Lepisosteus oculatus: one gene and its partners. The protein of the gene in region 1 interacts with the protein of each later gene in a biochemical or structural test. Links are inferred from orthologs where the notes say so. Each region holds a gene or a part of one and is shown in the gene's direction. Other genes may lie near its edges. The genes, in order: ube2a, rad18, rnf40 and rnf20.

Region 1 (8,068 bases):
TGTTAAGTTTGATCCAACACAGACAAAGGTGTTTTTTGTCAGAAACAGACTGTGGCCGTAGGGGAGAAAAAAAATCTTTCACTTCCGTTGATATATTTATTTTCTGTTCTAAGTTTAATTGAATTTTTGAATCATTTTAAGAAGGTCCTTGATCGAGGCAAAATTGGAAGTTTGTTCTTGTGACAAGGTGCCCTAGTCATCTCCTTGCCTGTGCTGTGGTAGAATCAAATGCATTCGCACTCTGGCGATGGTTTAGAAGGCTGTTATCCTGGGGTTTGTGTTTTGAAAGGTGTCTGCATTAGTCTGCCACTTGAAGTGCAGCTGCCAGTTATAAAGTGTGTGGTTCAGGGAATGTGACTCACCTGGTACCCAGTGGCTTGCTTGTCATCCTCAGGGTGGCAGTAGAGATGGTATTGAATGCCCCAATGGGGTGCCACAGTGCCTGGATGGTGACAGCCCAGGTGTGGGCTTGGAAACGGACACTGGGAGCTCCGGAGACGTCCTTGGCTCCTGTCCTGCCAGCCTCCCCAGCGCCCACACCAAAGAGCCAGCAGACAGCAGCAGAAACAGAGACGCCCGAGCAGGTGATGGGTCTGCCAGAGTCCCCTGGCCAGGCGGAGCTGGTGCAGCAGAATCGAGCCACTCTAACCTGGAATTCAGGGAACTCCGGCCCGACTGGCACCCTGGTCAAGCGGATCTGCCAGAACCTTGTCCCCTCAGCAAACGGCTCTCCGTCTCAGCCGATGCCCTGCAGCGCAGTTTTGGGGACGGCCCGACTGCCCCCTTCAAAAGTTTCAAGATGAAAAAAGCCAGCCGGTTTCCGAGAGGGCCCGGGCGTGGCCCGGCCACCGGAGAACAGGCCCAGGAGAGCAAGGAGAGGAACGAGAAGAAGGGCCAGGAGCAGCAGCAGAACAAGACCAGCAACCTGGACATCTCCGCTGCTGTCTGCGATCTGCTCAAGGAGATGGGGGGTATGTCCCGAGACTGCACACAAGTGATTCCCGATTCCAACACGTTCCAGTTGCACTGTGGCTTAATGTGCTCTTCTGTGTAGGATGAGCCAGGGAAAAAGGTGTCCCACTGCCTGTGGTTCTTTGTGTGTACTGCCTTTGCTTGTGAAACCCTGTTTACCACATCTGAATTTGTATGAGATCTGTTTACTCTGGAGCAAATAGTTTTTGCAGTATAGGTCTTTGAATCAAACACAATCCATCGATCCGTTTTCAAATCCACAATATGTAACAGAGCCTAATTTGGCCAGCAAGGCAGGGTACATCCTGGACAGGACACCAGTCCATCGCAGCGCGCACGCGCACGCAGGGTTCATGAAACACATCTGTCAGTGACACAAATGACTAAAGAATTTAATTCTTAATTATTCTCTTTTCAAAATGGCAGTTTAAGAGTCCGTTATCTGCACTGAGGGCGATTAAATAAAAACGGTTTGAATCTGCTATATGAAACCTTACGTAAATGTTTGTCATTTTCTTCCAGGGAATATCTTTGTTAACCTGGCTCGTTTTGTTTGCAAACTGCCGGTGCTGAACTTGGAGAAGTAAGTAGACTTCTTTTTTCTTCTGTAGCTAGTTGAAGGCTAATGCTTTTGTTAAACTGTGGAAGTGAGGAAGACTAACTGCAGAGAATGAGAAGCCCTGGTGCTGCAGGAGGTGAGGAAGGGCTGACAAGGCAAGGCTGTGCGATGTCATAACCGGCCAGCAGCCTGCAGTGTGCCGTCGGCATAGAAGGAAACCACAGTCGCTCAGGACCTCAGCAGAATGCCTCCGCTGATGTAAGGAGCCGAGAAGCGAACTCTTCAGCAATTGCGTGTCGTACTCTCTCATGACGGTAACTCAGAAATCAGGCCAGGAAATTCTAAACGGATAGTGGCACTTGTTTCAATCACCCTGTAATAACTCAAGGCCTTCAAGCAATAACTGATGATTCGGAATAACTGATGTTGCCTGCCATGCCAGACGAGGCGCTCACCCGGCAGAGCTGTGGCCTCACGTCTGTGCGTGTCTGCCGCTCTCCAGGAACCTGGACGCTTACTTCAGGACCCTGAACCTCACGGAGGCCCGGCTGGCCTCCTACATCGACACGCTGCGGGAGAAACAGTGGCCCGCGGGGCAGCCGGCCGGCCCCAGCCCCGGCCCCAGCCCGGCCCCGGAGAGGACCGCCGAGCAGAGGGCCGAGACCAAGCAGAAGGCACGGGAGCTGCTGCAGACCAAAGTGCCGTGTGAGTGTGCCGCGCCCCCCCCCCCACTCCCGTCCGGCCCCCCGAGAGCCGGGGCTGGAGGGCGATGTGTTAACGCCGGCCCTTTCTCCTTTTTTCAGATTTAAAAAAAGTCTTAAATAAAAGCGACGTCGATGCCATACTTGATGTCTTCCAAAACGAAGCAGAGAACAAGAAGCTGGTTTATGTGAGTAGATCTCTGTACAGGACACGGAGTAATGCCAGACATGATGATAGCGGCACTGTGTGTATAACTCTAGTGGTGTTAGTGGGGCCAGCAGGGGGCGCTCACCCTGTAGTCTGTGTGGGTCCTAATGCCCCAGTATAGTGACGGGGACACTGTACTGTAAACAGGCGCCGTCCTTTGGATCAGACATAAAACAGAGGTCCTGACTCTCTGTGGTCATTAAAACTCCCAGGGTTTCTTGAAAAGAGTAGGGGTGTAACCCCGGCGTCCTGGCCAAATTTCCCATTGGCCCTTACCAATCATGGCCTCCTAATAATCCCCATCTCTGAACTGGCTTCATCACTGCACTCCTCCCCACTGAGAGCTGGTGTGTGTGAGAGTACTGGCGCATCATCCAGGTGGGGCTGCACACTGGTGGTGGTGAAGGGGATCCCCGTGACCTGTAAAGCAAGTTGAGTGGGGTGTCAAGAAAATTGCTTTATAAAGTGTAAGGAATTATTATTATTGTTATTATTATTTATTATTAATAACAATAATTAAAACCTTTGCTTATAAGAAGAGAATAAAGAGCACCAAAGAAGCCAATTAACAGAACAGTTTTTTTTCTGTTTCTCAGCTAACTCATCACAAGGTTAATGAGAGGGATGTGAGCCTTCCTGTTCTGTTTCTGCAGATGTTGCTCTCGTTCCTGTTGAGGAAGCTGGTGCCCGAAGACCCTTCCCTGAAAGTGCCAGCCTTGTCCTGCCTGAGCAGCCCTCTGTGACCCCGAGCAGAACCGCCACAGGGGGGCGCTGAAGCAACTTCAAGAGCCGAGAGCCTGTATATTGAGACTAAGTACATCTTGGAGCTCTGGTGTGACGTGCCAAACACAGTGTAGCTGGAAGGTTGTTAAACTCTTGAAAGGGTCCGAACAGGACGTATTGGAATGTCCTGCTTCTCCTGGGTTCATCAACATGCTTTTGTGTAGTCGTGCAGTTAAATTTGCACAACCCGTTCATCATCTGTATCGTACGCCACCGAAGGCATCCACAGCCTGCGTGCTGTAAAACGTCCCTCTGCGTTTCCTCAGATACGAGAAGAGATGCGTTTTGTGTTAAAAATCAGTTGTTTCACATTCCTGCGGTGCCCATCGAGTGAGCATGTTTACATGTTTATAGTCTCCTTTTTTGTTACTTTCTGTATCGACTCCTATTAACCCAAAGTAATAAATTAATATGAGCCGTAATGGGTGGAAAAGGCACAATTAGATTTTTTTTTCCCCCTCGTGGCAGGGTTGTTTCTTCCGTGACCACATGGCCACTCTAGGTTTGAGAGGGCGTAAGTGCAATTAAAATGATTTTATTTAGCTCTGGTTCCAGTAAAGTGCTCTCTTGACAGTTTGCTTGCAGCAGGCTGTGGTCCCCTCAAAACAAGGAATATCTCACTGTGAATTTCTCGTCTGTTACTCGTTGACTCTTTGAAACTCTGATTCTGCTGTTTAACACGGATGCTGCTATTAACACCAGACCTACTTAACTCTGTGTTCCTCCCAGAATCCTCCTTCACCCTCTTCTGAACCAGCGGCAGGTTGGTCGGTTTAGCAGATTCTGTACGGGGGTGAACTGCGAGACTTTATTGTACAGTATTTAATTTTAATTTGGGAGGAATGGTGGTTTCTACTGTAAACGGACCAAGTTAGCCTAGAAAACGTACATACAGTCATTTTTATAACTTTTAAAAAATACTTCTGCTTCAGAGTAGTATCGCACAGAATTAATTTTTGGATGGTTAGAGTCATTTTCTCCTATTTTTAATGGAAAGGGATGGGGGCAGATTCACTGAGTTTTAGCAATCCTGAATATGTGATCCGTATTGAGTGTTTTGAACGTTACCAGTTGCTGAGGGCACTTTGTATTTCTTGTGTTTATCCATAGGTATTTCTTGGATTATGCTTGTTAATCATTTTTCAATAAATTACATTTATTTTAATTGTCTTTTTTGGAATTAAAAATATTCAGATTCTATACACTAAAATTTTGCTTTATTTGACTTAATGACATTACTGTATCCATAGTCACAACTACCTATGAAATCGTGACCTTGTTCCATATTTTTGGTCTTATTTCAGCCCTGGAAGACGTCTGTTAGATTGAATAGTTTGGCGACATATAAATGTTCGGTTTCTGTCAAATTATAGTATGGATTATCGTTTAACAACAAAATTAGTACTGATTGCCAAAGATGTCACTGAGTGAATACCGTTTATACTTGATTTGTAATAAAGCAAAATTAACCTGCAAAGCAAATCGCATATAAATTGGGCTCGGGTTGTCAAATGCTCTTGCATGGTATACATGTTTTTTGGTGATTTCTTTAATTAGAGGACTGTTTAAAAAAAGGGCATTTGTCGGGGAAGCAAAAACGTCTGGTTCACGCTCAGTATTTCAGCCCTGCAGGTAAACATTTGACGCCAAGACTAACCCAGCAAAGCAATGAACAAAAAAAATCACATTGTGATCGATAGGCTTCTGAAACCCGGAGGAGGAGGAGGGGGGGGGGTTGTCGGCGCAAAACACGTCTCTTTCAAAACTTGAGCTCGCAGTAACCGGAGTACTGGAGAATTGAACAGCCGCTGCTTTATTTTCCCCGACCCTGGGCGGTGGAAACGGGATTTAATGTTGGGTGGTTTTGAGCCGGGCCGAGCCCACATAGGGTTGGTCCTCCCCCACGGCAGGGCGGCGGAGTTGGTATCGCCCTGAGTCCTCCGAGTTCCCGGCTCGGGAAACAGAGCCGCACGGGCGTCAGATACGTCTTCGGTTGTGGGGTTAAAAAAACCGAGTCGCGCTCGACTTCCCGGCGTCTAAAATCAGAAAACGACCGCCTTATGTTTCATTTTTAACTTTTTTTTTCCTCCCTCCCCCTTCACGAAGATGTCAACCCCAGCTAGACGGCGTTTAATGAGAGACTTCAAACGGTAAGAGGGTCGAAGGCTTCTTCGGGCGTTTTGTAGCGACCGAAAAAAAAAAAAAAAGAGGAGGCGAACATGGCGACTATTCAGAAACTGTGCGGAGTGGGACCGAGCGCTACGCAAGTTTCGCAGCGTCCGCCGCGGCGGAGACCGCGGGGCCTACGCGAGCAATGTGGCGTAACGGCCGTTCCGGGATAGGGAAGAGTTTTGATGACAGGATCTCTCAGAAACAAGGCAGTGTGTTATTTTGTGTTGTCTCTGTGAATCAGGCTGCAGGAGGACCCCCCTGCGGGCGTCAGCGGAGCGCCCTCGGAGAACAACATCATGGTCTGGAATGCGGTTATTTTCGGGTAAGTGGCGGGCCGTGCGCGTTTTTAATCCACCGCCTTTATTTTCCGTAGTCGAGTCGGTTGCCCTTTCCAGCCGCCGGGAGAGAAGCGCTGTGGCCGGGAGAGCCGGTTAGCACCGGGTCCCGGGAGCGAAGTTTGTGAAGACAATTGTGCGGACAGCGTCTTTACGCCAGTGGCTGGCTTTTTCCTTCCCTTTTCTAGAGACGTCAGCGCTGTCGAAGTCTCTTTCATACCCAGTCCGTGTGCCTCCAGCTGGGCAACAAGTATGACACGGTGTAGGGTGGTTATTTAAAGCACCTGGCTGCGCGACACGTATCCGACACCTCGCGTTAAATACACGTTTTAGGAATTGCGCGATTTTGTTTTTCCTTCAACGTTTTATGGAGCAGTCTTGCGTTACTGTCTCCGTCGCCGGTTTTTCATTTGAGTTGTTCCGCATGGCCACACGTTTTTGTTTCTGACACAGAGTCTGTCCTTAGTTTGTTGGTTTGTTTGTGTTTTTGGTGGGGGGAAGGGGGTGTGTGTGTGTGTTGTGAAATGTCCCAAGGAAAACATAAAGAAGACCGCCCCCCCCCCTGTCCTGCTTGTCCTGTTTATCACACAGTTGATTCTCACACAAAAAAAACAGAAGCCGACTGTTCCTGTCGTGTGACGCGTCTACATCTACAAGGAAATGTTAAAAAGCGATCAACTATCTTTTTTTAATACTCTTCTCGTACTTTACATTGAATCGTCCCGGGTGCGCTCTTTCAAGGCGGACCAGCGACATCAGTTCAGCGATGGTACTTTAAAAAAAAAAAAATACAATGTGACTATGCGTTTCTCTGGCCTGTTTCCAGTGGGGCTTTGCAGTCCAATGCGCGACAGCTGGTCCGTGGAGAAGACGCTGCTGTGTCGGTGGCCGGTCCGGTGGTGTTAATGCACTTTCCCCGGGTGTCAGTCGCGTAACAGGTCGTCACACAACACCCCGACAGGCCTTGAGTGGCGTAACAGGCGGTGGTTCGGTGTTGTCCTGCTGGGTCATGGATCACTCTGGTGCCTGGGCTCCGAAACTGGGCCAGAGCCGGTCCCGGACCCCGCTGTCCGCACTGTCGGGCTCTTGAGCTGCGACCAGCATCGACCTGTTCTAATTGCGCTTGGATTCAGTTCGGGCTGAATCTATTCCATAACAGCAGACACATCGCAGAGACTTAATTCCTTATTGGGGGAAAATAGAAAAAAATAAAAAGATCATTTGCAGTGTCTAAGGGTGGACGGCATCAACGCTGCCTAGATCTAGGCTGTTGGTTGAGAATTATGGAAATTAGTATGCAAAGGAGTTCAGACAACGCTGATGTGTGGTGTCTCCTACCTGTGGGATTAAGGCTGGTTTTTAGTAACTGGATTAATGGTAGTACCACACCCAAAGAAAACTAACTAAACATTTCTAACCCACAGCCTTGTTTCTGAGCAATCGGATGAGGTGGCTGAGTAAAGGGTGTGATAAAAGTTTCTGTGCCTTGCATTCTTTATTAACATAACAATGAAGGAACCTGGTGACACGTTTTATACTTTTTTACTTCTGTTATAATTGCACGTCTGTATTTTTTTAAGACTTCCTTTGTTCATACAAATGCGATAGGCAGGTAATGGTATATTTGTTTTCCTTAATGCTTTTTCTGCGCTTTATTAAAAAAATAGAACCACAGGTTTCACTTCTATAGAAATCTAAAACCTGAGAAATGAATGCTGTGTTCACAGTAGCCCTACCGATAGTGTTGCCACTAAGGTTACAATGACCAGCTCTGATGTAAATGGTGATTAGTTTTTAATCTCAGATTAACCTTCTAGATTTTCTTTGTTGAAGGAAGAAAAACACTTTTTTAGTTTGTGCTTTGAGGTTCACTAATTCTTTCTTTTTTTTTCTCCTTTCTGTAGCCCCGAGGGAACACCATTTGAAGATGGTAAGTTCCTAATTGTGATTTTATTCATTCAATATGTAATGGCACCAGGCACCATTGTGCCGTTAAATTATTGTGGATTTTTCTAGAGAGTGGTTAGATCTGATATTAATGTCACGTTTAAGAGTCAGTTTCTGTTCCCTTGTTTTTATTTGGATTAATTCCTGAGCAAGATGTTGTATTTGTTGCATGTTAATAACTTAAGAGACTAAGCAAAGAGATTTAATAAAGTATCTAGGCTGTAAGTCCAGGTGTGTGCATCTGAGTTTAAATTCAGAAATAAAGAATTCATTTCTGTAGCTGGGAGAAAGTGTCTGATTTCACTGGAGAATATCTAGTCCTTTCCAAACTGGGCTGGATTCTTGTAGGCCTGTACACAGAGTGAATCAGTGGCAGGTGAGACCATGTGCT
Region 2 (7,161 bases), on another chromosome or scaffold:
GCATGGAATGAAAACCAGAGGACATGGCAGGCCTCCATGGGTGAATATCAGTACCCTAAGGGATATTATTCAAATCTGTTCCATGACTACCAATAAACTGCAGTTCCAAACAGACTCCCTGAAAGTAAAAATCTATATATAATTAAATAACTGAAAGTCAGAGGTTGCCAGGGAACTACTGATGGATAATGGGTTCTTGTCAAATTTTCTAGTTTTATGTGAGAACTATATCCAAGCCATGCAAAGGCAGTTCTTGTAGCACTTCACCATTCTTTATGAGCTTCTGTGCTGCACAGTACATGTCAGCACATGGAGCTTAAGAAGTAATAAATGCTCTATTTTCAGTGGCAGTATGTCATAGAGAAAGAACATTTGAGTTGTTAAAAATGAAAGACCCTAGAAAACCATCATATCAGTGGGATGCTGGAGGTCAGCAGCTCAGAGATGCAAAGAAAAAAAAAACATATTTTAATTCTACTTATGTTTGCCTAGCAACTTCCAATTAATGTATTTTAAAGGTACATTTTTGAGACAAAAGTTCAGAAGAAAGCGTAGTGTTAATCTTAAAGATTAATAGAAAAGTCCACATCACTCTAAGGAACATGTGTTTTCCGAGCACGTGGCACTCACTGCCTGTAAGAGATATAGTTATCATTAGCAACCTGCTCAGCTGTAATGTTCAGTAAAAGAGAACAGCATCTTGTACACTGTAGGCATCTAAGTTAAATTGGAAACTGAAAGGAAAAGGTCATTTCACGTGTTTTGACACTATTAAATATAATGACACCAAACACTGGACTGAACATAAATGTATTTCAGAAACTGGGTATTTAAAGAAGTCAGATTGCAATAAACACCTTTAAAATTGATTAATGAGTTGAATGTTATTAAATTGTAATATAGAAAGTATAGAATAGAAAACCACTATATGGTGCTTCAGTTCTGAGTCATGAATTATAACACTCTTAATTTATTTACTGTCTTTTTAATGCCACTAGGCTTTTGAATTATATAACAAATGTAATGACGGTCTCTTGATTTATATCCATGTACTGGATACATGACACATAGTTTATAGAACACAGATGGGCAACGGAAATATTAGATTTAGAAATGGCTTTATTCACAGCAGCCTCAATAGGATGAGACAAGAGAAAGACACATTTTGATTTTAAGAAACTAGATTACTGCATTCATTCTACAAAACCACATTTTAACTTCTTAACAAGTGATAAAGACGGCATTTAAAAGTCCGTGTTGTGAAATGTTGTGAACAGTCTTGTGAACTGGGCACAGGTTAACTTTCAAAATGAAAACTGAAAATCCAATTGTAGAGTTATGAGAATCTAGATGTGTAAAGGTAGTATGGGTGTCAGTATTTAATAAATGCAATGCTTGGAGCTGTTCTTCTGTTGAATTAACAAAAGCCCGACTTGTTGACCTTGTTTCTGCTTCCCTCACCACTTCAGTTTATTGATTTTTTTTTTTCTGAGAGACAGTTTTCAGTCTAGTCTACTGTAACTGGTCTAGATCAGATGGAAATGGGAATGTTAATCCTCTGTGTCAAGGCAAAGGATACGATCAGAAAGCTCAGATTTATTTTTAGCCATTATGTTCTTAAAGAGGTTATTCTCAAAATAATAATACAGCTCAATGTTCTTCCCCACATTACCAATAAAACTGCCTGCTTTGTGGATCAGTATCTTAAATATAGACCCCCCATCCATAACTTTGTTTACTTTAAAACATCCACAAAATGGGTTTTGACTTTAATTCAGTTTTCTGCAAAAGCTCAGGAAGTGTCGTAGGGAAATTGTATGGACAATGTATATTCTTTCAAAACAAATAATTTTAAACTACTTTTTTATATACTATCATTTTGTGACCATCATGGCAAACAAAGCTATTATATAATATTGGATATACTGTATCTAATTCATATATACTGCAGCTATACAATATACTGTAAAATAGTATTGGATGAGATGTAAAGCAAATGTCTGTGGCCACTAAAAATCCCAGGGCATTTCTCAAAAAAAGAGTTGGGGTGTTATCCCAGTGTCCTGGCCAAATGTTACCTTGGCCTTTACCAATAATGCCCTCCTAATAATCCCCATCTATGAATTGGCTTCACTACTATGTTCTCCTCCCCACTGACATCTGATGTCTACTGGTGCATTTTGGCTGACATTGCGTGATCCAGCTGGGTGCTAGATGTTGGTGGTGGTGATGATGATGATGCAGGAACATGGTGAAGATACTTGAATACTTGGTTTAGTTTGATCCACAAAATGAAAAGTATTTTTCATCCCCCAGAGGTTAGTATGCATATGACTGAATGAGTTCAGATAATTATGTACAGATGAAGATCAGAAAGATTGTTTTTAGTAAGAAAACACTCTCCTTTAGGTTAATACTGAGAAGCATACTGTATTCCTAACTTGACACTCACCCCAAGAGAGGGTACAGTAATGATGCAAAACAGAATAAACAGTCAGGTCAGCTTTCAAAAATAGATGGTGCTTTATTATTGGAAATTGAATTTTTGTTATTATGGACCCTATGTGAGTGTGTACTTGAAAATGACTGTATCTCTGATCCAAGACACGTGATTAATGGCTTCTTATACTGGACTACCTGATTAGAATTCCAAATCATTTAACTCCACAATACAATTCATTGCTTAATACTGTATGTCATTGTTCAAGGGTGTCTGAGTATAGTCTGCAATGAATTCACCCAAACTTCAGGTAGATGGGAAATACGCAAAATATTCATTAGTTGTCATAGATTAAAACAGTTATTTTTCAGCCACTAACTGTGGCTGAAAAGCTGATCAACACATTTGTGTTCTCCTGAACTGACTACTGTAATGCTCTGCTCGCTGAGGTATCTAAATCTACATTGAACAAACTGCAGTAAGTCCAAAATTTGGCAGCCAGGATCCTGACCAGGTCTAGTGCAAGTGATCACAATACTCCTATCCTGGAGTCCTTGCACTGGCTTTTTGTCAAATTCCATGTGGACTTTAAAATCCTCATGCTCACCTATAAGGTTCTGCATGGTTTGACACTTCAGTACCTGTCTGAACTATTATCGCCCTACTTCCCACCTCGCAACCTCTTCTAATTCTGGTCTCCTAACTGTTCCCCAAGCCCTTCAACATTCTATGAGTGACAGGGCCATCTCCTGCTATGCCCCCAAGCTCTGGAACTCTCTTCCCAAGGATATCGGAGTCACCTCCTCTTAACTCCTTCAAATCCAGACTCATAAGAGCCTTTACTTAACTGGTTCCATTCTTTACCCCTCTGCTCCTACTATACTTAGAACCACCATCCATGGTCTCCTCTGTGTATTGTAATTGTGTTTTATCTTGTGTATTTGTTTTATTTATTGTTGTTGTCATTCTGTAAAGCGCTTTGAGAAGCCACCTTTAAAGGCGCTATATAAAATAAAAATGTTTTTTATTATTATAATTATTTCTGAATTGGTGATAAAAAATACCTCTCCATTACACAAGATCTTCTTTTAGGCAATTTGAATGTGCAGCATGGAGAAGTAATTAGGACTCTGGAATCCAGTCCAGATAGCTGTGAGTTCATATCCCAGGTAAGACACTGCCATTGTACCCTTAAGCAAGGTAATTCACTCAAATTACTCCAGTCAGTAACCTGCTGAATAAATGGCTCCCCAGGTCATCATTATAAAAAATAGTTCAGGTTGTGTTCTCTTTCTTCTTTTTTTCAGCATGGAATAAACCTATTACTTGTTCCATTATAAAAAAAATAATTTGTATTCACTTGACATTGCTAAATAAAGAACTAGCCCATTATTACCAAAATAACCCTCCTGTTGATAAGAGAATGCCCTGTAAATCAGTAAATAGGAACCTGCAGGCGCTTCGAGGTATCACAGTTTTTAAAGTTCTTTTGAGATCTAATAATGCACCTGACCGAAGTGGGGGTGAAAGGCCCGCCTCACCAGTGATTTTCGTTTTGGGGCAGTTCCTTATTTTTCGCTTATTTTCCGGTGGAGGCGATTTTGTCATGGACGCGCGGCACTCTTGAGTGCTTGCACTGCAAATGTCCTATGTGTAGAAGCTCAATGGAAACAGTAATTATTTTCTCTGCGCTCATTTGTGCTACTAACATAGGAATAGAAGAAGTAAGATTGGATAAAGACAGTGGAACTTCGTACACTAAGGTTTACAGCCGTAAACATACGTAAAAATTAGTAATGTACTGTGATCATTGCAGATTCTATCAAGCCTACAACATCCAGTTCACTCTTCACTGCAGGAAGTGACGATTTTCACTGCGGAAGCTTTTACTCAACTTCCGGCACTGGCGCGGGAGTGTTAAATAATAAGTGTATTTGCAGTCAGGTTCTTTTTCTTAAAATTTGAAGTTAAAGAAGGAGTATTTTATCAAGTGTTTATAAAATGTCACAAAGCTTTACTGAAGCGGAAATCCCCCCTAATTTGTGTCATCTCAAAGTAAGTGAAGGAAACGTCAGTGCAACTCTTATTTAGGCACTGTATGATTAATGCTCCTTAGTGTAAGCAAAGTGCCTTAATATACGTTTATGCTATATATCCACAAAATTGATACCATGTGATGTCAAGAAGTAGTAGGTCATGAGACAACCGAAACTTACTGTTAAGTGTGCACCGTGAGAACAGATCCTTTGAACTTAGGTAATATTTTTTTAGGTAATAAAAGTTGCGATTATTTTCAAACTGCGGATTTTTCCTTTTTCAAGCATTTTGGATTGGCCTATCATTTGTAACCAAATACTACAGTTTATGTGCTCGTATTTACACAGCAGTCTTTTTGCCATCGCACCTTTTATTTCATTCAAGGAGCTGTGATGTTTCACTTTGTAAAATATTTACACTGTTGTGTGCGTCGTTCTTAAGAATGGAAAATAAATAGTAGTTTACTGTAGTGTAGATGAAATTACAGAGTACAGTAGTTGCTTGTAGAATAGCCAACTCAAGTTATGGACTCTCTTTGTTTTTAGAATCTAGATTCTTTGTTTAGATGTCCAATCTGCTTTGATTATCTGGACATTTCAATGATGGTTCAGCACTGTTCCCATAACTGTGAGTACACATTTCAGTTTGAGATTTGTAAAACATAAGTACATTATTTTTGTTTCCAAGCAAAACTTTAAACCAAAATGTTTATTTGGTCACGTTTTTTACTAAGTGCTTAAATAATTTCGATAGATTTTAAATGTTCCTTTTTAATTATATCAGAGAGCTCAAATCATGTAATTCTATAAAAAAAATGTGCTTGAACATTTTAAGTATAGAAGCTGCCTCCTGCAATGGTGTTGTTATACTGTGCTGTAGTGTGGATTCATATTAAAAATATGTTTGTTGCTTTCAGTTTGCTCTTTATGTATACGGAAATTTCTGTCCTACAAACTGAAGTGTCCAGTATGTAATTCGGTAAGTAAAGTATTCTTGTTTTAAAACTTTCCTTATACGTGCAAATTACCATTGTTCCATAGCATATTTATGTAACAATGGCATTTTGCGTGGATTAGAAAACCTATACCTAAATGTTTTCTGAAATCATGTGGTTGTCACCAATGAACAGGCCTACATACAGTATTTTGGTAAGAAATATCTGATGTGGATGTTGAAGGAAGAATGAAATTTCATATCTGTAAGCAGTTTCTATACAACCAGAAGCTGACATTTCTAATTAGATTTAAATAGTTCTATTTCTTGCACTGTTTTTGGTCAGGGGGAAATACTGTATGGGAACAAGTAAATGTTGATTTCACGCTGAAAAGAGAAGAAAAGAAACAATGTTTTGTCTGTGGTGCTTTCTTTGGGTGTAAAGGTGCTGTATCTGAGTGCTTTAAATACTATTATGCTTGTATGTTATTTCAGTATCTGATCAACATCAATGGCATTTGACAAAGCAGAACCAAACTGATTATTTTATAATCCCCACTGATTTTGGAAGGTTAAGACTATCTTCTTATGGTTTCAAATATTTTGTCAGTTCAAGCATTTAAGCTAGAGAGAGAAAACAAAAAACATGACTTGAGTTTTATATACTGGGAGGCATTAAAAAGGCAACACGGTCTTGTTGCCAATATTTTTCCAAAAGTAAGGGGTTCAGTTTATCAGAAAGAGAATAATTCTGCACTATTAGTTAACCAAATGTGCAAAACCCATTTCAGTCATTTGTATCGTAGGCATGTATGCAAATGTAGATGTGATCACTATGATGTTCAGATGTTACTGCGTCTGCAACTGTGTGCACAAACATGGCTGAAACAAAATCCCATGGCTTCCACAGCCATGGTAGGGTAGAAAAGAAGAGGCCATTGGGATGCCGAGGGCAAGTATGTCAGCATTTAGGGGAAATAGACACTGGTGTGCTTCACACGAGTTTAACTTGTTACTGACGGTAACCAAGTGGCCATGAGTCACCACACCTGTTTGAGGTATATCCCATTGAGATATCTCGGAGGATGAAATAAATAGTCCTGCATCCTAACCTACTGCCCAGTCACCTGGATGTCTACATATCCAGACCAGCTCCCAGACAGAAAGATAGTGTCTTGAGAATGAAGGCATAAGAACCCATTGTACACATAGGGTTGCTGTTGAATAACCATCATAGGGCAACATGTCATGCTTGGGCAACTGAAACTGGCCCAAGGCAAATTCAAGTTCAAGTTAATTTGTCAGTCCAGCCATATACAAGTATACAGAGGATCTGGATATTGTTCTCTGGGTCTTCGGTGCAAATACAGACACTGGCAAGAAAATGCTATAGACAATGTAGACATAGACATTTCTGACAGGGTACGGTGCAATGTGCATAGTAAAATTGGAACAACGTTGTATTAAGTGGAGGGTCATGGGCCTTTCTGATGTAGCACAACAGTGGGCATAGGGCATAAAGCAAAGAAGTACCATCCGCATTGTTTCAAACGTGGGTGTATCTGAAGCTGGAGATGTGATGGTATGGACTGCAATTCAGTGTAATTCATATATAAGCGCTTTGAGTGGAGTGTCCAGAAAAGCGCTATATAAGTGTAAGCAATTATTATTATTATTATATATATATAATTACAACAGAAAGTATTTCTCACGGGTCTCCTTCTTAAGCACTCAGTTTAGACACAGATAGT
Region 3 (7,158 bases), on another chromosome or scaffold:
CCCTGGAACAGAGTCACGGTATGGGCGCAACCACCCAAAGATGCCCAAAGGACACCCCAATATACAAAGTCTTCTGGGTCACTCCATTCCTGACTTCACTGAACTTATTAAAATGCTTGTTAACATGCTAGTTTTTACAAAGTGATTACTCAATTACTTAACTGATGCCTTCATTGAGCTTGCGATTTGACTGACTGGAATTTTGCAAGTGTCTTTTCCTGCTCTGAAGTTTTGGGTTGTAGTTTATGACCCGCAGTGGTTTACAGGGGCATTCAGCAGGTTTATGAGCTGACAACAGCTGAGATCAATCATGTTGCTTCAGCCAATGAAAGACTCTGCTGTGTAACAAAACCGCAAAGTGAGGCCTGGTGAGATTTAGCAGTCGTGTTTCAGATTGAGTGGCTGTTCCTGACTTCCTTGAACTGATCATCTTACCGACCTGATCAAACCCTCAGGGGTCCACACACTGGCCTCAGGGACCAGGGTGGGACAGCAGTGCTCTACAGTGGAGAGGATACGCTGGCACTGAGACTCCACATGCTGCACACAGGCCTCAGTGTGAGCTGGGGCTGCTGCGTGGCGCCAGTACCTGGCTCCAGGGAGTCACTGTCCACTGCCTCGGCCTCAGGCATCCCGCAGTAGGTCAGAGAGAGGTCCAGTCTCACCTGCAAGAGGGCGACAGGCCAGCAGACAGTCAGGCGGACAGAGTGAGAGACAGATCAGCAGTCAGTCAGACAGACTGGTGCACAGAATATGAGACAGATCATCAGTCAGACAGACAGGTGGACAGAGTGCGAGACAGATCAGTAGTCAGTCAGTCAGACAGGTGGGCAGAGTGTGAGACAGAACAGCAGCCAGTCAGTCAGATAGGTGGGCAGAGTGTGAGACAGATCAGCAGCCAGTCAGCCAGAAAGGTGGACAGAGTGTGAGACACATCAGTAGTCAATCAGTCTGACAGGTGGAAAGATTGTGAGACAGATCAGTAGTCAGTCAGTCAGACAGGTGGACAGACTGTGAGACAGATCAGTAGTCAGTCAGTCAGTCAGTCAGACAGGTGGGCAGAGTGAGTCTGTGAAATGGCAGAAAAAGCTGCAGGCATTCAGCACCTGGGGAGTGAAGGTGTACTTGTACAGGGCGTAGTGCCTGAAGTAGGTGTTGACGAGGTACTCTGTGATCTGTGTGGCCTGCTCTGGGCTGAAGAGGTCAATACTGAAGGGAGGGCGCTGGAGAGAGGGACACAGCGGGGAGGGGGAGAGACCAGATCATTTTTAAACACCCAGCACACAGACATGTGGGCTAACACACTGACATACACTACCTACTTGTAACCTGGTAGAAACAGACAGCTCAGAGTGTGAGACACAGAGACAGACAGCTCAGAGCAGTGAGACACAGTGACATACAGACAGCTCAAGGTAGAGACACAGACAGACAGCTCAGAGCAGTGAAACACAGAGACAGCCAGCTCAGAGCAGTGAGACAGTGACAGACACACTGACCCTGACGCAGTGGCACAGGACCAGCTCAGTGAAGTAGTTGAAGCAGTACTCCATGTTGTTGAGGGGCGTCTCTGGAATGAAAGTCCACCAGTCAGGTTACTGTTGCTATGAAGAGTTGCACTCTGGATTGCCTCCCCTTTCAATCTGACTAGGATATGAGAACACAGCTATTCCTTCTCCTTCACAGTGTGGGGTCACAGACAGCAGAGGTGTGGGGTTACAGACAGCAGCAGTGTGGTGTTACAGTGTAGGGTCACAGACAGTGGCAGTGTGGGGTTACAGTGTAGGGTCACAGACAGTGGCAGTGTGGTGTTACAGTGTAGGGTCACAGACAGTGGCAGTGTGGTGTTACAGTGTAGGGTCACAGACAGTGGCAGTGTGGTGTTACAGTGTAGGGTCACAGACAGTGGCAGTGTGGGGTTACAGCTTGGGGTTCCTGCATGGTGAAACAGTGTGGGGTCACAGACAGTGGCATTGTGGGGTTCCTGTGTGGGGTCACAGAGCTGTGATTACCAGTATTGGCGAGGTGCAGGGCTCTGACGATGGACACCAGCACTGAGGTCTGTTCCCTGTTAAACTGCCTCTCTCTGCAGAACAGCACAGCGTACAGGTACATGTCGGCCAGGATGCTGTCACTGGGCCGGGACAGCTGCAGAGCCAGCGCCCTGCCCAGCGCTCTGAGGGAGAGAGAGCCAGAGGGGGGGAGAGTTCACACTGCACTGGTGGCTCAGCTGAGCGTCCCTGCCACGAGGCCCTTACGAAAGCGCCGCGGCGGGTGAAATCGGACCGCTAACACACGTATGGAGGCTCTGGGTCTGACCTCTGCAGCTCCTCTGTCGTCTGCGCCGCCTCCACCTCCTCCATGTCGGCGTAGCTGAGGTCTGCCCTGCACACAGACGGCCGGAGTCACTGACTGCCCTGACCAGACTGCTGGGGCGCCCCTGCGCCCCACGGCATCAGCTACCCTGCAGGGATCTCAGCAATAACTACCCGTCCAAGATGTAATAATAATCATATAATAATAATAATCTCACACCTTTATAGCGCTTTTCTGGACACTCCACTCAAAGCTCTTTACAGGTAATGGGGTCTCCTCTCCTGGATGATGCTCCAGTCTGCTCACACACACCAGCTCTCAGTGGGGAGGAGAGCAGAGTGATGAAGCCAGTTCAGAGAGGGGGGTTATTAGGAGGACATGATTAGTAAAGGATAGGGGGAAATTTTGGCAGGACACTGGGGTAACACCTCTACTCTTTTCAAGAAACACCCTGGGATTTTTAATGACCACAGAGAGTCAGGACCTCGGTTTCACGTCTCATCAGAAGGACGATGCCTTTTTACAGTATAGTGTCCCCATCACTATGCTGGGGCGCCCCCTACTGGCCCCACTAACATCTCTTCCAGCAGCAAGCTCAGCTTTCCCAGGAGTCTCCCTTCAGTGGGTTGCAAGCTGTGAGCTGCAGGGTCATGTAGCTGCTGTCAGATGTGTTTGTTTTATAAGCCATCATCGTGAAGGGAGCTCCCATAAACACAGCAGGCTTAATAACATCTCTGTCCAGTTCAGGTCTTACCTAACTGGTACTACGTCAGCTTGGGGGAATCACTGGGAAACACAAACTGCAAAAAACTGTGTCTGCCAGTTTCCAACCTGAATCACATCAGGATAAGGACAGAGCCCATCTCACAAGCCTGCATTTTAATAGTGCAGAACAAGCTGCAGGAGAGGGAGACTGAACTCACCACAGCAGGACTCTGGGCTTCAGAGGGCGAGGCTGCAGAGACAAGAGCACAGGGGACAGGGCGTTATCAGAAAGACTGAGGGAGAGAGAGGGTGAGGGACAAAGGGAGTGAGATAGGAGAGAGAGAAGGAGAGGGACAGGAGAGAGAGGCAATGGGACAGAAGAGACAGAGGGACAGGAGAGAGAGAGAGAGGCAATGGGACAGAAGGGAGAGAGGGAGAGGGACAGGAGAGAGAGAGGAGAGGGACAGGAGAGAGAAGCAATGGGACAGAAGAGACAGAGGGACAGGAGAAAGAGGAGAGAGGGACAGGAGAGAAAGAGAGGAGAGAGAGGCAGTGGGACAGGAGAGAGAGAGGGACAGAGGGAGTAGGAGAGGAGAGAGGGTGAGACGGACAGGACAGGAGGGGGGAGTAGAGAGGGAGAGGGACTGAGTAGGATAGGACAGGCGAGGAGAGAGAAGGTGTTGGACAAGATAGGAGAGGAGAGAGAACAAACCCACAAAAACAATAGTCAGGCCGTGTTGTTGTTAACCCATTTTTTCAGAATGTTATCTTTTTGCAAAAGCAGAGCAAAGCCGGTACCAGATGGCTAGCCCGACCACGCTGAGACGAAGTCTTACCATTGTCAAAAGGCCTTCTCCCTTCATTCTAAGATGATTTTCTGAAAACGTATCTTAGCCCAGAATTCTGAGGTTAGCGTTTAGGATGAAAAAGCCTTCAGTAATGCTTAAATGTTATAAAAAGATTAATCATTTAAACTACAATAACATCTCCACCCCCTTCGGTAGCGTCAAGAGCGTCTCGCTCGTTTCCACAGCAACTGAAACCCAGCTTCCTCTGCGTGATGCTTCCGGAACCTCTTCCCGTGAGCGAGACCCGGAAATGCGCCGGTCCGACATATACTTCCGGGTGACGAGGAGGATGTGTTGTATTGCGAGCCGCTGTCACAGTCGCTGAGGTTTGTTCACTTTTCTGTTCGTGAATTTATTACTTTCCGTGAAAAAATCGTGCCAGATTAGCAGTTTACTCGGTTGTGACTCCCTTCGAGGTCCTACGTCAACTCAGCGGTGAGGAGACGGAGAAGGACGCGGATCGCTCTGCGTGTCGGGTGCGGAGATCGGGGCCAAACAGCCGCCGCAGCGCTGATCGGCTCACGGTGGGCACACTGCAGTCGTGCAGGAGAGTGAGGGCATCGGGCGTCATGCTAACAGGACAGGAACACCGTTAGGAAGACCCGCCTACTAGGATAGTAGGTCCACTGCCTAACATCAGATGTTCGTTTTGTCAAAAAATGTGTCTGTCAGGAATCTTACAGATCAACCCACATCTCTCTTCGCTGAAGACGTGGAAGGACTGAAGGTTACTGAAAAAAATTGGCCAATTTAATGTTCTGTACAAGCCGTGTCTTAAATAACCCTTCTCTGTCAGTGCAGTGTTAGTGTACTGTAGTGTCCAGTCAGTCAGTGTGTCTGTATTAACCCTTCTCTCTCAGTGCAGTGTTAATGTACTGGAGTGTCCAGTCAGTCAGTGTGTCTGTATGAACCCCTCTCTCTCAGTGCAGTGTTAATGTACTGGAGTGTCCAGTCAGTCAGTGTGTCTGTATGAACCCCTCTCTCTCAGTGCAGTGTTAATGTACTGGAGTGTCCAGTCAGTCAGTGTGTCTGTATGAACCCCTCTCTCTCAGTGCAGTGTTAATGTACTGGAGTGTCCAGTCAGTCAGTGTGTCTGTATGAACCCCTCTCTCTCAGTGCAGTGTTAATGTACTGGAGTGTCCAGTCAGTCAGTGTGTCTGTATGAACCCCTCTCTCTCAGTGCAGTGTTAATGTACTGGAGTGTCCAGTCAGTCAGTGTGTCTGTATGAACCCCTCTCTCTCAGTGCAGTGTTAATGTACTGGAGTGTCCAGTCAGTCAGTGTGTCTGTATGAACCCCTCTCTCTCAGTGCAGTGTTAATGTACTGGAGTGTCCAGTCAGTCAGTGTGTCTGTATGAACCCCTCTCTCTCAGTGCAGTGTTAATGTACTGGAGTGTCCAGTCAGTAAGTGTGTCTGTATGAACCCCTCTCTCTCAGTGCAGTGTTAATGTACTGGAGTGTCCAGTCAGTGTGTCTGTATGAACCCCTCTCTCTCAGTGCAGTGTTAATGTACTGGAGTGTCCAGTCAGTGTGTCTGTATGAACCCCTCTCTCTCAGTGCAGTGTTAATGTACTGGAGTGTCCAGTCAGTGTGTCTGTATGAACCCCTCTCTCAGTGCAGTGTTAATGTACTGGAGTGTCCAGTCAGTCAGTGTGTCTGTATGAACCCCTCTCTCTCAGTGCAGTGTTAATGTACTGGAGTGTCCAGTCAGTCAGTGTGTCTGTATGAACCCCTCTCTCTCAGTGCAGTGTTAATGTACTGGAGTGTCCAGTCAGTCAGTGTGTCTGTATGAACCCCTCTCTCTCAGTGCAGTGTTAATGTCCTGGAGTGTCCAGTCAGTCAGTCTGTCTGTATGAACCCCTCTCTCTCAGTGCAGTGTTAATGTACTGGAGTGTCCAGTCAGTCAGTGTGTCTGTATTAACCCCTCTCTCTCAGTGCAGTGTTAATGTACTGGAGTGTCCAGTCAGTCAGTGTGTCTGTATGAACCCCTCTCTCTCAGTGCAGTGTTAATGTACTGGAGTGTCCAGTCAGTCAGTGTGTCTGTATGAACCCCTCTCTCTCAGTGCAGTGTTAATGTACTGGAGTGTCCAGTCAGTGTGTCTGTATGAACCCCTCTCTCTCAGTGCAGTGTTAATGTACTGGAGTGTCCAGTCAGTCAGTGTGTCTGTATGAACCCCTCTCTCTCAGTGCAGTGTTAATGTACTGGTCATGTACAAACGGCTCTGTCTCTGCAGGTGTAGCTCTTGGAGTGCCAGGAGGAGGCGTGCAGTGTCAGTGATCATGTCAGGGGCAGGGGCAGGAAAGCGGGGAGCAGGAGGAGGAGACAGCCCACCGGGGCCCCCCGAGAAGAAAGGGAAAAGGGAGGAGAAGACTACCACCACTCTGATCGAGCCCATCCGCCTTGGAGGGGTGTCCTCTACGGTCAGCCACTGTCTTCTGCCACCCTGCATCCCCCCCGCTCTGGGGCGCAGTCCCGAGTGTAGACCCCCCACACGCCCCACTCTGGGGCACAGTCCCGAGTGTAGACCCCCCACACGCCCCGCTCTGGGGCGCAGTCCCGAGTGTAGACCCCCCACACGCCCCGCTCTGGGGCGCAGTCCCGAGTGTCGCCGCGCTCTGGGGCGCAGTCCCGAGTGTAGACCCCCCACACGCCCCGCTCTGGGGCCAGCCCCGAGTGTTGACCCCCCACACGCCCCGCTCTGGGGCCAGCCCCGAGTTTTGCCGCGCTCTGGGGCGCAGTCCCGAGTGTCGCCGCGCTCTGGGGCGCAGTCCCGAGTGTAGACCCCCACACGCCCCGCTCTGGGGCCAGCCCCGAGTGTCGCCGCGCTCTGGGGGCGCAGTCCCGAGTGTCGCCGCGCTCTGGGGCGCAGTCCCGAGTGTAGACCCCCCACACGCCCCGCTCTGGGGCCAGCCCCGAGTGTTGACCCCCCACACGCCCCGCTCTGGGGCCAGCCCCGAGTGTCGCCGCGCTCTGGGGGCGCAGTCCCGAGTGTCGCCGCGCTCTGGGGGCGCAGTCCCGAGTGTCGCCGCGCTCTGGGGCGCAGTCCCGAGTGTAGACCCCCCACACGCCCCGCTCTGGGGCCAGCCCCGAGTGTCGCCCCGCTCTGGGGCGCAGTCCCGAGTGTAGACCCCCACACGCCCCGCTCTGGGGCCAGTCCCGAGTGTCGCCGCGCTCTGGGGCGCAGTCCCGAGTGTCGCCGCGCTCTGGGGCGCAGTCCCGAGTGTCGCCGCGCTCTGGGGCGCAGTCCCGAGTGTTGACCCCCCACACGCCCCGCTCTGGGGCGCAGTCC
Region 4 (7,827 bases), on another chromosome or scaffold:
TGACAACGGTACATGAGGTTCCATACTATAGTCCCAGTACAGGAGAACAGTCCAGTTACAATAGGAGCTACAATCCAGTACAGTATAACAGTCCTGTTACAATAGGAGCTACAGTCCCAGTGCAGAAGAACAGTCCTGTTACAATAGGGGCTACAGTCCCAGTACAGTAGAACAGTCCTGTTACAATAGGGGCTACAGTCCCAGCGCAGTAGAACAGTCCAGTTACAATAGGGGCTACAGTCCCAGTACAGTAGAACAGTCTTGTTACAATAGGAGCTACAGTCCCAGTGCAGGAGAACAGTCCTGTTACAATAGGGGCTACAGTCCCAGTACAGTAGAACAGTCCTGTTACAATAGGAGCTACAGTCCCAGTACAGTAGAGCAGTCCTGTTACAATAGGAGCTACAGTCCCAGTACAGTAGAGCAACCTGCTACAATAGGAGCAACAGTCCCAGTGCAGTAGAACAGTCCTGTTACAATAGGAGCTACAGTCCCAGTGCAGGAAAACAGTCCAGTTACAATAAGAGCTACAGTCCCAGTACAGTAGAGCAACCTGCTACAATAGGAGCTACAGTCCCAGTACTGTAGAGCAGTCCTGTTACAATAGGAGCTACAGTCCCAGTACAGTAGAGCAGTCCTGTTAGAACAGGAGTGTTAATGGCCAGCTGCAGCTCCACTCTGTCAGAGTGCAGTGTTCACGCTGGGCTTGGCTGATTTCACTGACTGGGGGAGCAAAGATCAGCACTCTGTGGAACAAACACAGCAGTAAACACACTAGGCTGAATTCAAACCTTGCTATTGTGCTGAATTCCCTCTGTTCTCTCTGTATCTTTCCAGCTCTCTCTATCTCACTATATCTCCAACACATAGTATCTCCTCTCACTCCCTGCCCATCCTGCCCCACAACCCAGACAGAGTACTGCATCATCCTTCCTTACAGCACCATCTCTCAAACTCTCTCTCTCAGTGCAGTGTTAATGTCCTGTAGTGTCCAGTCAGTGTGTCTGGACTGTATTAACCCCTCTCTCTCAGTGCAGTGTTAATGTACTGTAGTGTCCAGTCAGTGTGTCTGGACTGTATTAACCCCTCTCTCTCAGTGCAGTATTAATGTCCTGTAGTGTCCAGTCAGTGTGTCTGGACTGTATTAACCCCTCTCTCTCAGTGCAGTGTTAATGTCCTGTAGTGTCCAGTCAGTGTGTCTGGACTGTATTAACCCCTCTCAGTGCAGTGTTAATGTCCTGTAGTGTCCAGTCAGTGTGTCTGGACTGTATTAACCCCTCTCTCTCAGTGCAGTGTTAATGTCCTGTAGTGTCCAGTCAGTGTGTCTGGACTGTATTAACCCCTCTCAGTGCAGTGTTAATGTCCTGTAGTGTCCAGTCAGTGTGTCTGGACTGTATTAACCCCTCTCTCTCAGTGCAGTGTTAATGTCCTGTAGTGTCCAGTCAGTGTGTCTGGACTGTATTAACCCCTCTCTCTCAGTGCAGTGTTAATGTCCCGTAGTGTCCAGTCAGTGTGTCTGTACTGTATTAACCCCTCTCTCTCAGTGCAGTGTTAATGTCCTGTAGTGTCCAGTCAGTGTGTCTGGACTGTATTAACCCCTCAGTCTCTGTGTGCAGGAAAGGCAGGCAGGCTGTAACAGGGGGTAACAGGTGTAACTGGGAGAAGGAGAGAGATTTGGCCCCAGAAAGATAGATTCCCCTTCACCTGTAAATCCTCTTACGTAAGCCATCCCCACATGGGTAAGGACAGATACTGGGGTGCTCCTAGTGTACCCCAGCTTGGTGGTGCCTGTCCTGTCTCTCAAAGCAGTGTCTGGGCAGACAGCTGGGGTCCCCACGCGCAGGCTCATGTGTGTTGAGTGAAGGGACTGAAACACCGACTGTGCTGTCTGTGTCAGAGCTCATCCCACGTTCCATGGCATCGAGCCCTCAGAGGGCACGTGGTCCCGTCACAGAGCCTTTCCCCAGCAGGGCTGGTCCCCACCTTTCCACTGGGGTACAGCCCCTCCCTCCAGGTACAACTGCAGTGTCCGCAGCAGGAGTTCGAAGCCACAATCCCAGACACCCACCATGCTGCCCTCTGGAACTGGCAAGAGGCAGACAGAATACAGCAGTGCAGTGGAAACAGGAAATACTGGAAACAAGAGGAGCCAAAACAACACGCACATGTCCCAATCAGGCTAGAGCAGCAAGAGGACAACGTTGGTTGTCACTGGTGCCTTTATTGAGGCTGCTCTCTACATGGACGGACAGCACGGGTTTGAAAAGTAAGGCTTTGATTGAATTGTCAGAGCTCCACAAACAAGCACCCAGGACTGAAACTACACTAAATTTCCCTCATGGGGTCAATAAAGTATCTATCATCTATCTAAAGAACACAAGAAGATATATCTTCTTACAGGTGTGAGCAGTGGAGTGTCTCAGGTGACAGGTGTGAGCAGTGGAGTGTCTGATTGGGCAGGTGTGAGCAGTGGAGTGTCTCAGATGTCAGGTGTGAGCAGTGGAGTGTCTCAGGTGACAGGTGTGAGCAGTGGAGTGTTTCATGTGACAGGTGTGAGCAGTAGAGTGTCTGATTGGGCAGGTGTGAGCAGTGGAGTGTCTCAGATGTCAGGTGTGAGCAGTGGAGTGTCTCAGATAACAGGTGTGAGCAGTAGAGTGTCTGATTGGGCAGGTGTGAGCAGTGGAGTGTCTCAGGTGACACGTGTGAGCAGTGGAGTCTCTCAGATGTCAGGTGTGAGCAGTGGAGTGTTTCAGATGTCAGGTGTGAGCAGTGGAGTGTCTCAGATGACAGGTGTGAGCAGTGAAGTGTCTCAGATAACAGGTGTGAGCAGTGCAGTGTCTCAGATAACAGGTGTGAGCAGTAGAGTGTCTGATTGGGCAGGTGTGAGCAGTGGTTGTGAAGATCAGACACACTGCCTGCTATGAATCTGTTCATTTTGACTCAGGGTTCCCAATATTCTGGCCACTGAGTGTACATGTACATGCTGGAAATGTAAATGATATTCCTAGAGTTCTCATTGAGTGATGTTGATAAATGTTGTTTTGTGTCATGTTATTGTACTGTTGTTGCATTGTATTTATGTCGTATATAGTATGTTATATTTTTATGAGCTCTTGATCTGCAAGACAAATTCCCTTAGAGCCAATAAAGATTGATTAACTAAATTATAAATACACAGTTCAGTACAGAAAGAGACAAACATGGCCACATCTCCCTAGACTGAAACACAGACCACAATGAATGTGGTTAAGATTTAACTCCCAGATCTAATCATTCTTACCCAGAAATTGCTCCATGATTCAGTCAGGCAGTGCTATCTTTCCAAGCACTGCAGATAAGAGAAAGTTACACAATGTGAACCCTGACCCACAGCTGAAGTATTAGCTTCCAGAAAGATACCGTGCTGCAGTTTGATGCAGGACTGAATTGATATTAATTTCTCTGTCTATTAAGTAGCTGTCTGGTTATGCAATGAGTTGAAGATTATTATGAGGCGTCAAAGGTATGGTTCTGTATGGAACAGTCCTGGCTTGCCTTTCACTTAGACTCCTCGACAGGGAAGATCAGACCTTCTCTGAGTGTAGCCCAGTGCGCTACAGTGACACACTGAGCACTCCTGTCTGAGTGTAGCCCAGTGCGCTACAGTGACACACTGAGCACTCCTGTCAGAGTGTAGCCCAGTGCGCTACAGTGACACACTGAGCACTCCTGTCAGAGTGTAGCCCAGTGCGCTACAGTGACACACTGAGCACTCCTGTCTGAGTGTAGCCCAGTGCGGTACAGTGACACACTGAGCACTCCTGTCAGAGTGTAGCCCAGTGCGGTACAGTGACACACTGAGCACTCCTGTCAGAGTGTAGCCCAGTGCGCTACAGTGACACACTGAGCACTCCTGTCTGAGTTTAGCCCAGTGCGCTATAGTGACACACTGAGCACTCCTGTCAGAGTGTAGCCCAGTGCGCTATAGTGACACACTGAGCACTCCTGTCAGAGTGTAGCCCAGTGCGCTATAGTGACACACTGAGGATTCACATCAAATAAATATAATTTTCTTCTTGCATCCATTTTCTAAGTACTCCAGTTCAGGGTTGTGGGGGAGTCGGAGTCTATCCCAGTAAGCAGTGGGTGAAAGGCACAGCACACCCTGGATGGGACACCTGTCCATCACAGTGCACACAGAAACACACACACACACCAGGGCCTGTTTTCCCAGAAGCTAATTAACCTGACAGTATGTCTTTGGACTGTGGGAGGAAACCAGCATGAACACAGGGAGAACATATCAACTTCACACAGACAGCACCCCAGGAATTAAATCCATGGTCTTAACAAGGCTAACCGCTTGTGCCACCTGATTTATATCTCCGTTAGTACTACCAATAATAAGAATAATGGAACAAGTCATAGGTTTATTCCAGGCTGAAAAGAGGAGAAAGAAAACACAACGTTTTGGCCGTGGAGCCTTCTTCAGGTGTGAGGGTGTGTGTGTAAGCTCACACCTGAAGAAGCCTCCACGGCCAAAACGTTGGGTTTTCTTTCTCCTCTTTTCAGCATGGATTAAACCTATTACTTGTTCCTTCGCAGCCTAAGCATGCTGACGCAGCTACCCAGCTGAAGTGTAATACTAATAATAATGTCACAGGAGCAGTATTATCAGTTGAGGTGATCCCACAGTAATCGAGGCCCTGCCCAGGCCGATATGACCTCCCACCACCAGGTGGCGCGATACCGTCCCGAGAGCCGCGCACAGCGCCCCGCCAACAAATAAAGCAGGTTGTGGTTTAACTTCCGCTTCCGTAAGCAGGAGACGGGGATAGAGAGGGTGGGAGCTGGAGGTGTACACAAATCTAAAACATGAATCATTGAGACCGGCGTTAAAGGCAAGACTTCGGGAGAACTTTCGGTAAGAAAACGAAGACGCTATGAGTGACTTTAGCGCAGGAGGTGAATGAGAAGATAACGTTAGTGTTGTGTAGTTGCCCTGGTCGTGTAGTGGTGTACGTGTGTGTAAGCTGTGTGTTTGTGTGTTGGGTGTAGCGCTGAGTTTATATCAGCATCTTTCTGTGCTGATATAAAAGATTTTCTGCGTTAGATAGTAAAATTACTAGAGATCACTGCTCTCTCCAGCAGAGAGAAACTACGGGGGCTCATCGGTCTCCCTGTTAGTAAACTTCCCGGGGCTCACCGCTCTCCCTGTTAGTAAAATTACTGGGGCTCCCCGGCTTCTGTCAGAGACAGCGAAATTAATTCTCATCTGTACAAGAGCTTGCAGCAGGTTAACGCTGGAGAGGCGCAGACTGCTGGGCAGTGGGAGTTTGCCTGCCTGTCCTACCTGCAGCCACTTCATGAAATGAGTCTTGAATTGGTTTGCTCAACCAGCTATGCTCAAGACTTTCTTATAATGGAGCATGTCACCAGCTCTGGGGTGTGTAGTCACTCAGGGCGTGTGTGCCCTCCATCAAGAGAGTTTATCTGTCTGAATGTGCAAGGAAGCTGAGTCTCCCTTCATTCGGAGTATTCCTGATCCTGATTCCCAACAGAGACTACTTCAGGCCATCCAGAGGCCAGAAAGCCCTTTTCCAGTCCTGGCTCTGTATCGGCCCTGTCTCTGCGCATCACTCTGATGGTGCTGTGTTCTCTGGCTCTCTGGAGTTTGCAGCTGAGCTTCTTTCACTGGCTCTCCGGGTCTTCACTCGAGCTGAGCTCTCTTGTGCTCTCCGGACACTGGAGCGAGCAGGATGTGGCGTTTGAGCTGCCCTGTGGGGTTTATCGGCTGTTACAGGGACGCAGGTAGATTCTCCAGGAGGCCCCTGGCAGCAGGCAGAGGACTTTAAACAACTTGACACCCCAATGTCTTTAAAACGCCCCACACTAGGGGGCTGATCTGAGACGCCGTCGCAATCAACAGAAACTGAATCGGACGAGTTTCAGAGATTCCCTGAGCTTCTGTGCCGGGAAGAGTGGTTGAGTCCTGAGACTTCAACTCTGCTTTTATTTGTTGCTTCGAGTCTAGGAAGGGGCTTTGCTGGGCCAAGGTGTGGAGAAACCAGGCTTGCCAGGGAGAGCAGTGTGTCTCCTCCTCTGGCTCAGGCGGACAGGCCTGCGGTCGCGTCTGGGCGAGAGGCTGAGAAAGTCTCACGCCTGCAGCACTTCCTGCCCCAGCTGCATCTTGGGAGCGGGCCGGTGCACCGTGGGATACGTGCCGCAGCTTGGCGCCGGCGCCATCTTGACCTGCTCTCTGTCCTAGGCTGGGCCAGCGATGTCGGGGCTGAAGCGCCCTGCTGACCCCCTGACCTCCGGGCCCCCCGAGAAGCGGCGGGAGCGAGAGAGGGAGGGGGAGAGGGAGGCGGAGGACGGGGGAGCTGCGGGCGGCAGCACCGCTGTGGAGACGGTCATCAAGCTGGGGGGAGTGTCCAACACTGTGAGTCCCACCCCCTGTCCAACATCAGGCCATCACCCTGGCTCTGTCAGCTGTCCATACACTGTCTCCTACCAGACTGATATTGTGAAGACGTCTTGTTACACATTTCTCTCAGTGCAGTATTAGTGTCCTGGAGTGTCCAGTCAGTGTGTCTGGACTGTATTAACCTCTCTCTCTCTCAGTGCAGTGTTAATGTACTGGAGTGTCCAGTCAGTGTGTCTGGACTGTATTAACCCCTCTCTCTCAGTGCAGTGTTAATGTCCTGTAGTGTCCAGTCAGTGTGTCTGGACTGTATTAACCCCTCTCTCTCAGTGCAGTGTTAATGTCCTGTAGTGTCCAGTCAGTGTGTTTGGACTGTATTAACCCCTCTCTCTCAGTGCAGTGTTAATGTCCTGTAGTGTCCAGTCAGTGTGTCTGGACTATATTAACCCCTCTCTCTCAGTGCAGTGTTAATGTACTGGAGTGTCCAGTCAGTGTGTCTGGACTGTATTAACCCCTCTCTCTCAGTGCAGTGTTAATGTCCTGTAGTGTCCAGTCAGTGTGTCTGTACTGTATTAACCCCTCTCTCTCAGTGCAGTGTTAATGTACTGGAGTGTCCAGTCAGTGTGTCTGGACTGTATTAACCCCTCTCTCTCTCAGTGCAGTGTTAATGTCCTGTAGTGTCCAGTCAGTGTGTCTGGACTGTATTAACCCCTCTCTCTCAGTGCAGTGTTAATGTCCTGTAGTGTCCAATCAGTGTGTCTGGACTGTATTAACCCCTCTCTCTCAGTGCAGTGTTAATGTCCTGTAGTGTCCAGTCAGTGTGTCTGGACTGTATTAACCCCTCTCTCTCTCAGGAGGAGCAGGATATCCGAGCTCTCCAGGTTAAGAACAGGAAGCTGGGAGAGGCTCTTGACCAGAGGCAGGTGATTGAGGATGAGCTGCGAGATCGAGCTGAGAGGCTGGAGAGACGGCAAGCAACTGATGATGCCAGTCTGCTCATCCTGAACCGCTACTGGAACCAGGTAATGCTCCACGCTGCTCAGGGCGTGCCCTGACGCCGGTCCATCGGCAGGTGCTGCTCACACACCACTGTGGCTATGAGAGGCTCAGTTTCCAGCAGCTGGAAAAGATGCCCGTGATGCTCAGGTGTGGCCATGCTACACTTGGAATGCTGGGGCCTTTTGTGGTTTCTGCTCAATATTTAATAACGATTCTGGACTTTATATCCTGCGTGTGGCTTATGTTTGCATTAATGTTTGCCAATGCAGATGAAGCAGATGGTCTAGACAGTCCTCATGATATGCGCGCTATCCATCTGTGTATCCTTTTGTGTATATCGCGCTGTGTATATCGCGCCCAGCCTCTGGATACGAGTGTGCCTGCGGTTGGACCTGTTGGTACGTTCAGTGCGCCTGTATTGACCT

Evidence for each region.
Region 2: the proteins of ube2a (region 1) and rad18 form a complex in vitro, tested with the Homo sapiens proteins (12 studies listed by BioGRID, with this or other methods). The link is inferred for Lepisosteus oculatus from reciprocal best matches to the Homo sapiens genes UBE2A and RAD18.
Region 3: the proteins of ube2a (region 1) and rnf40 form a complex in vitro, tested with the Homo sapiens proteins (3 studies listed by BioGRID). The link is inferred for Lepisosteus oculatus from reciprocal best matches to the Homo sapiens genes UBE2A and RNF40.
Region 4: the proteins of ube2a (region 1) and rnf20 form a complex in vitro, tested with the Homo sapiens proteins (4 studies listed by BioGRID, with this or other methods). The link is inferred for Lepisosteus oculatus from reciprocal best matches to the Homo sapiens genes UBE2A and RNF20.

Annotation. Positions count from the first base shown.
Region 1 is NC_090703.1:50,198,322-50,206,389, forward strand, and holds the start of ube2a (ubiquitin-conjugating enzyme E2 A), read left to right. Parts: upstream 1-5,041; 5' UTR 5,042-5,329; coding exon 5,330-5,373; intron 5,374-5,636; coding exon 5,637-5,717; intron 5,718-7,634; coding exon 7,635-7,660; intron 7,661-8,068. Other genes in the region: uncharacterized protein, read left to right, coding at 395-971, 1,495-1,555, 2,034-2,236, 2,335-2,420, 3,094-3,183. UniProt on the Homo sapiens protein: E2 ubiquitin-conjugating enzyme that accepts ubiquitin from the ubiquitin-activating enzyme E1 and transfers it to a E3 ubiquitin-protein ligase. In vitro catalyzes 'Lys-11', as well as 'Lys-48'-linked polyubiquitination.
Region 2 is NC_090699.1:53,229,219-53,236,379, forward strand, and holds the start of rad18 (E3 ubiquitin-protein ligase RAD18), read left to right. Parts: upstream 1-4,095; 5' UTR 4,096-4,441; coding exon 4,442-4,495; intron 4,496-5,022; coding exon 5,023-5,104; intron 5,105-5,393; coding exon 5,394-5,455; intron 5,456-7,161. UniProt on the Homo sapiens protein: E3 ubiquitin-protein ligase involved in postreplication repair of UV-damaged DNA. Postreplication repair functions in gap-filling of a daughter strand on replication of damaged DNA.
Region 3 is NC_090699.1:15,914,197-15,921,354, forward strand, and holds the start of rnf40 (E3 ubiquitin-protein ligase BRE1B), read left to right. Parts: upstream 1-4,118; 5' UTR 4,119-4,195; exon of another isoform or gene 4,196-4,486; intron 4,487-4,497; exon of another isoform or gene 4,498-4,596; intron 4,597-6,102; 5' UTR 6,103-6,148; coding exon 6,149-6,289; intron 6,290-7,158. Other genes in the region: cfap119 (cilia- and flagella-associated protein 119), read right to left, coding at 1-2, 590-665, 1,107-1,223, 1,500-1,570, 2,013-2,176, 2,320-2,385, 3,240-3,271, 3,858-3,884.
Region 4 is NC_090701.1:42,019,308-42,027,134, forward strand, and holds the start of rnf20 (E3 ubiquitin-protein ligase BRE1A), read left to right. Parts: upstream 1-4,797; 5' UTR 4,798-4,903; intron 4,904-6,247; 5' UTR 6,248-6,259; coding exon 6,260-6,421; intron 6,422-7,257; coding exon 7,258-7,425; intron 7,426-7,827. UniProt on the Homo sapiens protein: Component of the RNF20/40 E3 ubiquitin-protein ligase complex that mediates monoubiquitination of 'Lys-120' of histone H2B (H2BK120ub1).